Solanum lycopersicum: one gene and its partner. The protein of the gene in region 1 binds, or shares a complex with, the protein of each later gene. Links are inferred from orthologs where the notes say so. Each region holds a gene or a part of one and is shown on either strand. Other genes may lie near its edges.

Region 1 (4,567 bases):
ATAACCACAAATACAAAACAGTAAGTATTGGACTCCACAAACTTATTATAAAATATTTAACTCCATATGTTTCCCTTTATCAACCTTTCCTTAAGATTCATGTGACTTTTTAGTATGAAGAAAGCATCAGTGCCATTATTTTGTTCGCTGAAATTAAAAGATGGCCTTGTAAAGATGAAACTTCAGATAGCATATAAAATTTCGTAGCAGTCTTGCTATTGAAACTTCTTTTTCAATTAACGAGAAGGACTCGTATGTTGTCAACCAAAATCCTGTTCCTTCTCTATATGTAAACCCCACAACAGCTACATTCTTATTAACACATATTTAAGAAAATGTAAGGCCTGACATGACTGAATTTTCAATGGTTCATATAACTTTCAAGGCTTAAATAGCAGCAATGGCAGATTGGAACGGAAAGGAAATATGAATGGGAAGTTCACTTTGAAGTCTTGTTACAATGTTCTAACAGGACAAACCCTTGTAATTCTGAAGGTTCATAGGAAATAAGTTTGGAAATCAAAAGCCCCCACTTGGTTACGTGTTTTGTATGGTTGTTGAACAAAGAAGTTTGTGTTACCATTTCAAAAAAAGAAACGGAGGAAGAAGCTTGCCTTAGCGAAAACAACTTGCAAAGAAGTGGCTTTTATCTAAGTAATAGATGCTACATGAGTTGAGAGAATTCTGGAACAAATGAATCCTCTATTATTACACTGTTCAGTCTGATTTTAAGTTTGGCAGATGTTCTTCAGTATTTTGGGACTAGAGTGGGTGACGTCAAGATCTACAGGTGACGTTTCAATTTTTTGGAGTAGGATGGCTTCGTTGGGCTTTGAACATGAGACCTCATGGTTCTCAACCCACTTCATTGGGGACTAGGCCATACCCATGGGACATTTCTAAATTTCTTACTTCCAATTCTTTATCTTTATGACTCACCACCGTTTCTTCAACTCTTAAGATAATACCATTGAGCACTTACAACATGTTAACACTTGTTGAGACATGAAGATAAAGAATGATATGAATTCTAGTGTCTAGGATTAAAATATCTAGAGAGCCATTATCGCTTGGCATGTATTAGCAGGTAAAATTGAAAATATGGAGAGAGGACTCCTCAAAAATGGTACTGAGGAAGCATATTATTTATAATAAATATAATAAATGCTAAATAATCTGCAGCAAACAGCTATAATTAGAGAGTAACAGCTAAAGTACCTTGTATTGATTCTGTTTGAGCCCCAAATCACTAGAACCTCTTGGCTGGGAGTTGCTCTGAACACCAAAACCAAAAGGGTTGGACTTTGTCTGCTGCATATTTGTACTCTGAAAATTAGTGGATTGACTGCCAAATCCAAATGGATTTGGCTTCGGTTGTTGTTGGGCAGCATGAAGAAATTTACAACGTTCACCATATTGACAGCTGGATGAATAAGACAACAATCAGATCCTATTTTTCATACTCAAACAAAGGAACCTATTCATAACAAGGATTACTCAACTCTCATAAAGAACTACTAATTAAATTAAGAATTTTTATGTTTCAAGTTAAAGACATCATTTTTACTTTCTAAGACATCACAGCAAAAACACCACCTTTCTAAGTTCTAGATGGAATATCATACCAATTATTATTCGATCTTAGGTCAATATTATGTAATTTGAAAAGGAAACACAACCCCCTACCTCCCGCGAGTTCACTTCCCAACCTAGCTTTATATATCCAGATATATGAAAAAATAAAAAAGGTTCAACCGGGGATCTGTCCCCCCTTCATTTAACCTTTTGGTAGGTCCCTGTTATCCCACACTAATGTAAATAAGAGGCATGCTTAACATTCATTCTTGATGAGTTCCCAGAAAAAGGAAAGAGACATTCTTTTTGAAACAAAATAACAAGAAAAGTAAGAAAAACAAATTGAAACGGAGGGAGTAATATTTATTCCTTTGCTAGGACTTGAACATGAGACATCATAAGAAAAACAAATTGAAACGGAGGGAGTAATATTTATTCCTTTGCTAGGATTTGAACATGAGACATCATGATTCTCAACCCTCTTTATTATCCACCGGCCACACCCTTTGACCCTAAAGCTCATGACTTTACTTAGCTAAGATCTTTCAACCATTACCATAAAGATTGAATACAACAATCAAGCAACCAACTTCCCATCAATCCTAAACCACTAAGGCAATATGAATTTTCTAAATTCATCCCCCACCCCGGCCATACCAGATAACTCTATCCACCAGACCTGGACAAATTTTAAGAAATCACCAAGTGTTTCTACCTACATTGGGATTTAAACTAGCGACATCATGATTTACAACCCACTTCATTAACCATCTACAACACCCTTTGATGCTAAAGCTCATAACTTTACTTAGCTGGGATATTTCAACCATTATAATAAATATTAAGTACAACAATCAATCAACCAACTTCCCATCAATCCTAAACAACTTCACCCCCATCCCCACCCAATAAAATGCTCAAAGAAACTATTTTTACTCAACTCTACACCTTTATATCGATTAGCAAAAGAATAATACTAAATAAAAATTGAATCTTTGACATGAAAGTTTCAAGGGTTAATCAAGAATCCTATGAATATATGCATAATAAAGTATATAGATTGAAATTAAAACCAATTTTTTAGTTATTTTTACCTGCCACGCATAAAATTTCTGCAGGGTTCTTTCCTTGGAGGCATAGCGTTAAGTCCTTTTTTTGCTGCTTCTTTTTTTCTTGACTTGTAGCTTCAAAATCTTGGGTCTATTTATAAAAAAAAATACTTAAAAAAGAAGGAGGTGGGTGTGGGTGTGAGGGGGGGGGGTTGGGGGGTGAGACGGGGGCGAGTCTTTTTTTTTTAAAAAAAAAATAAAATTCTCGCCTCTTACTCTGTATTGAAGTCCGATTAAATCTCAATCTATGCAAAAAAAAGTTTCATATTAAAAATTAAAGTTTTTTACAAAACTCAAACTCAAAATTTGAAAAAAATTAAAAAATCTCGATGGTTTTTCTATTTTTAATTGTAATTTTTTAGAGGCTAATGAGTATTGTTTTTAGTTCCATGTAGAATGATATTCAATTTATAGTTACAACTAATATATGAGTTTCTTTTTTGTCTATTATATATATTATACCTAAATTACCCTCATATGCAGAAAACAATGCACACTTGACATAAGATAAAATAGTCAAATAATTGTAGTGATATATAATTTGTTAAAAATTGTAGAGATTTATAAACAGAGGGCTAAAATCTATGCATATCATCAATTAATTAAAGGTTAAAATTTGCTTAGATACATGAGAGACAGTACAAGAATAAAATTAAAGGTTAAATTTGCTTAGATAGATTAGAGATGTTACAAGAACAAAATTTAAAATTTGGTAATATTTTAAATATTATAGCTTATACTCAATTTAATTTGTTTTAAATGTTTTTATTTTGATTAGACGCTAAATTTTAGAAAAAAAATTAATAGCATCGATCAAGAGACAATTTCAGATCAAAGTATTTTATGAATTATAAACATCTCAAAAAGATAATAGAGACCTACAAAGATTTACTCAAATCAAACAAAAATTAACCCTCGAGTGCAAAAGCATAAGAGAAAATCTTTGTAAAATTAATCATTATGAATCTTACAATAAATTTAATTGACACGTTCAATGAGAATAAAAAGAGAATTCAATCAGTTAGTTATTAAATATGAATCGATAAAATGCAAATTATATAAAAACTGTCATTTTTTTATATTTAAAACCCTAATTAATCGAAAATCTCAATTTTAAAAACATTTTCTCCTAATGAATTTTACGTAATTATTCGTAAGTTTTAATAAATTAAATTTTAATATAAATATCAAACACGAAACGATATCGAGAGGGTGGCCCTTAATAGTTCCCCCTTTTGAGTTCTTTTGACGGTTAATCCAACAATTTGCTTACATTTCCCCATTCTTGTTTTCTCCGTTCACTGCTTCCTTTATATATCGAACTTTATCTTCTTTAACAATCCCATAAAATCCATCAAATTTTTCTCTGTAATCATGGCTGCATCAGCCTCTTCTTTTACTGCTAACAGTTTTTCGCAGCCCATCAACTCCACCAGATCCATTGACAACAACAACAAGAAGACCCTTTTGGGAAATCAGCTTAAAGATAGCTCCTTTTTTCTTGGATCAGCTAAGAAACTCTATATGAAGAAACCCTTTTCGTCTCAGAACTCGAAAAGCAGATCTATTGGTGTTTATGCTGTTTCTGAGGTTGCTAAGAACAAGAAGCTCAAAACAGACTCACCACTCTCCAATCTGGTACTTGCATTTTTTTACTTTCTTCTTAAAAAATGTTTATTTTTGATAATTGTGTTGTTCAGGCCAGCTTGTGTGCAGATGGGAAGAAATCACAATTGATGTTTGTTTTGGTCTTTTGCAATTGGGTTATGCTTGTTTAAATCATTGGTGTTTTGAACTGGATTTCTGTTGATTAAGTGCTTATATTTCGTTGTACCAAAAGTATGACGATTTAGCATTACAATTTTGGTGTGAATTCCGATATG
Region 2 (4,565 bases), about 42 Mb from region 1:
AGCTAGATTCAAGGAGAAAACAAAGTTGTGAATGAAGGTTCGGCATTGTCAATAAACTCAATTCATTCTCATGATGAAGACAATGCTCATGGACAAGGATACAATATTAAGGCTTGTTAATGAGTTAATAAAGCTTAATGGTTTTAATGATTTGCTATGTTTGGCAGAGTTGACCAAATAATGTATCTACGCGATAACACGGTTAGAAATCACCTATGTGAGTAGTGAAGTGTAAGCCGCTTCAAAGAAGATGATTATCAAAAGTCCATCTCTCTATACACTTATGAAACCAGGAGGTGTTCATGGCTAAAACGAACACAACCGTAAGAACCATAAATGGTAAAGGGTTAATTGTGTGGCATATGATTTTCTAGGTATACACCAAAGTTCGACGGTTCAAGATATCGCATCTGACCGAGTATATCCGACATATGTTCACTACGGAAAGTCCAAGGGGAAACCTACTTATCCAGATGCAATTAATTCTTGCTTGTAAAGTACACATACTTGTCCGTTTCTTTGTCTTCGAGTCATTCCCCATTCATGCGGCGGATTGTTGGATTTTGAAAAGGTGTGAATGGAAAATGAAGAGTTGCGACTTTTATGAAGAGTTGTGGCTTTTATGAAATGTTGCGACTTTTATGAAAAGTTGCGACTTTTATGAAATGTTGCGACTTTTATGAAAAGTTGTGACTTTTATGAAAGGTGACGACCTTTCTGAAAGATTGTGACTTTTCCAAAGGTTTGTGACCTTTCCGGTAAGGCACAATAAGAACCTTTTCGCACTACCCTTTGTTTTCTATAAATTGAGGGATTTTCTCTCATTTTAATATAGAATTCATGGACTTCTTCTTCAACTACTAAATCTAGTATTCTAAGTGTACTTTATTGCCGTTGAGTGGTTCGATGACACCGGAGTTTTTGGTATCTATACTTTGGTGATTGAGATCATTTTACCCTGGGAGGTCATATTCCAAATCAAACCTAGGATACTAGAGGGGAATAATTTCCTTAAGGGGACATTATGAATTCAGTGGACTTGATCTTTTTCCTATTAAAATTTTTCCAGATTCTGGTATGTGTTTTACAAACTTTAGATTTGTGAATTAATTTCAGTTCTTCTATTCTTTTGTTCTTCACTGGTTCATTAAATTTGGTAACTTCGTGTTTCTGCAAAGTTTGTTGGAATCAGTAAGATTCTTTAGACACATATTAACAACAATTCTTCTTTAAAAAAATTATTTCGTATATTTTTTTTAAATAATTTATTTCTGATTTTAGTTTCGCTACTAGTTTTAATTTTCTAGCAAAGATGTTCAAAGTTTCGTTCTAAGTATGTTTAGAATACAAGATGAACAACAATGTTAATATATAATTAAGTGAATTATGAAATTTGAGTTTATACCGTATAATTTAGTGAAATTTGATTCTTCAAGGTAGATTCTAAAGGCATAATATATAAATACGATTCTTAATTTGACTGTGCACAAGTTGACTCTTTCACTTATATAACATTAAATAAATAGATATGTGTATCCTACGTGATATAATACACATATAACATTTGGACGCAAGACATCACTTTGCTATAAATAGTGAATTAAATTATCTTAAATATATCAATCAAACAAATCTAAATTTTATACCACAACTATTTTCTATCCCACAATTTTTGTACTTATTCCCACGCCAAATGAGTCCTAAATCTTAATTAATTATTGAGGACTAACAAAGAATCCCGATTCCAAAAGAAAATGGCGGCAAATGCGTTGAAATTCATAGTTACTTCCTAAGCCAACCTAGGGTTTGTCCTTTCTCACCATCTCCACCACTGCAACAATGTTCGGAGCTCAGCCCTCCTCCGCCTTCGGCACTCCATCATTCGGCACACCTTCGTCAACCCCAGCATTCGGCACACCTGCGTCAACCCCAGCATTCGGCACACCTTCGTCGACCCCAGCATTCGGCACACCTTCATCAACCCCAGCATTCGGCACGCCGTCAACTTCATCATTTGGCACTGGTTTTGGATCGACACTATTTTCAACACCATTTTCACAGCAATCACAGCCACATCAACAGCAACAAACTTCCTTATTTCAAACACCTCAGAGTTCGTCCCCTTTCAGCTTTTCCACACCCTTGAATACTGCAACACTGGCCCAATCCAGTCCATTTGGTACTTCCTTTCCATTTGCAAATGCCCAGTTGACTACTCAGATGGCTCCCGTGGCTCCACTCCCCTTTTCTCTCGCTGATAGGGATATCCAAGTAATTTCTCTACTCTCAAATCTTTGTGCACATCACGATTCTAAGTATATTTGTTTATGTGCACAACAACTTCATCAAGCCATGGCTACCGGACCTGACTGGGTGAGGGTGGATCTTTTTCTTTGGGAAGATGCTTCATTTGAAAAAAAAAATATGAAAGGAGATAATAGACTAATTTAATTTACGTATATGAATAACACAAATATCTGATGAAGGGAGCTTAGCTGGATTGGACAATTGCTAACAGTGTAAAGCACTTTTAGTAATTAATCAAGTCACGTCAGGCTTCCTCTGCTGATTGAAGAAAGCCTCATATGGCTTCAAATAAGCAAGAAACACTCTTTCTATCTTATTCATAACATTACTGAGAAAAATTGGTGGATGCTAGAATCATTAAATGTTTGCAGAAACAATTAAAATTCTCTAATCTCTACCAGACACTAGAAATTAAAATATTATCTGAACTCTTAAACTCCTGATTTTAGACGTAAAAATAGGCAACTCTGGACCTTTTCTTCAAATCGTCTTAAAAAGTATTTCAATCTTGATAATAAGGAAGACCTGGGAGTAGTTTTTTTGAAAGAATAGTGGAGCCACCACCAAGGAGCTGTCCTTAACTGTGGCTATCCGAGGGTTGGTAGTGCGGGTCTTCTTAAAACAAATCCTCCTTTAGTTAGAATGTCTTTCCTTTGGATAGCAGGTTACTTACCATTTTATTCAGGTGATCAATCAATCCTTATTTATGGGGTGACTACTACAACTTGAACTCGTTTCCTTATAGTTGTCTGTTTTCACATCTGTATCAGGCAATTGTTGATGCGTACAAGGAGGAGCCTGGTAACCGTAAATATGCTTTCAAGGTTTGATCTCTTTTCCTACTAGGCTAGGTCATATTGAAGAGGTGAGTGAATCAAATGAAAAATCTAAGATAAACAATCGTATATTGTCACTTGTGAAGCAGTCACTGAATTGCTTATCTATTTTATTCGAGTCATTCACTAGCATTGTGAAGATATTTATGAACTCTGTTTTTGTTATGATATGTCAGTTGTTAATAGATTATGGTTGGAGGGTTTCCATCTTTTGGATGTGTATAGAGGCGCTTACATCCTTCTCATTTATTTGCACTTATGGTTGTTTTGCAGCATCTTTTGTCCAGTGTGACGGAACCTCAATATAGGACGAAACCTGCAGGGGTATCTGATGTGAGTTTGATATGTTTAAAATTTTTATTTCAGTGTAGGCATTCTGGTTTCATTGCTTGTTTCTTGCTGAGAGTTATGTAAATGCAATGAATTAGTTTGCATTGCCAGATAATGTGGGCAGAGGCAATGGGCAAACTTGAAGGCATGGAGAGTACTGACCGTGAGCGCCTGTGGCCTCAACTTGTACACGGCTTCAAGGATCTTTCCCAACGGCTCAAGGTACCTTGATATTAATCACTTAGGAATGTCTTTGGTATGATAGAAAGTGATTTGGAGGGATATGTATTCCTTAAGGTGAATGTTTTCAGTATTCTAGAACTGCAAAATCTGGAAAATGTTTTTCTTAAGAAAAATTATTCACGCTTTGATTTGCTTTTTTTTTTTTTTTGGCTATGATTTGCTTGAGCGTCTTTTGGAAACAACCTCTCTACCCCGAAGAGGAGTGATATGGTCTGTTACACTCTACCCTTCCCAGACCCAACTTAGTGGGATTTTTTTTTTGGTAATTTGAATTTTATTTATCACCAAAGTAGATAATTACAAAGCTAAACCAGTCCTACTTATAAACTGGTTATCTCAATATCTGCAGTCTGCTTACAATCTTAGAGACTTAAAAGCTACATCTATCTATTAAATAAAAGCCTGTCTCAGACAGTAGCTCTAACACAACAAACACAAGCTACTCTTCAAGCAATATCCTCTATTTTAGTCTCCGTCCTCTAAAAAACTCTATTGTTCCTGTCCTTCTAGATGACATGGATAAATTCTGTTTATACTAGTTGTAGTAGCTGGGCTTGGTGGCTTTTCCCTTTGATCTTCTGGATGATCTGCTGTGGCATTCCAAGTGGTGCTTGGAGGTTGACTGATAGTTGTCCATTGGAGTACTCTCCTCCATTAGGAGTTGGCAAATGCACACTCAAAAAATAAGTGATCTCTTGTTTCATCTTCCTGCTTAGACAGAACACTTTAGGATCTACTTGCATTCTCCATTTCAGCAACCTATCTGTTGTAGGAGTGTTCTGGATTCGCAGCCATAAGATAAAAAGGGCTTTAGGTCTTGCTAAGTTGCGACATATGAGACCTCTCCAA

What was found.
Region 2: zinc finger CCCH domain-containing protein 16 (region 1) and nuclear pore complex protein NUP54 share a complex: the UniProt entries of both Arabidopsis thaliana proteins name them as parts of the nuclear pore complex. The link is inferred for Solanum lycopersicum from reciprocal best matches to the Arabidopsis thaliana genes AT1G75340 and AT1G24310.

Annotation. Positions count from the first base shown.
Region 1 is NC_090811.1:3,099,990-3,104,556, forward strand, and holds the start of zinc finger CCCH domain-containing protein 16, read right to left. Parts: upstream 2,803-4,567; 5' UTR 2,714-2,802; coding exon 2,670-2,713; intron 1,424-2,669; coding exon 1,219-1,423; intron 1-1,218. Other genes in the region: pyruvate dehydrogenase E1 component subunit alpha-3, chloroplastic, read left to right, coding at 4,059-4,322.
Region 2 is NC_090811.1:44,743,103-44,747,667, reverse strand, and holds the start of nuclear pore complex protein NUP54, read left to right. Parts: upstream 1-1,588; 5' UTR 1,589-1,839; coding exon 1,840-2,271; intron 2,272-3,077; coding exon 3,078-3,131; intron 3,132-3,416; coding exon 3,417-3,476; intron 3,477-3,584; coding exon 3,585-3,695; intron 3,696-4,565.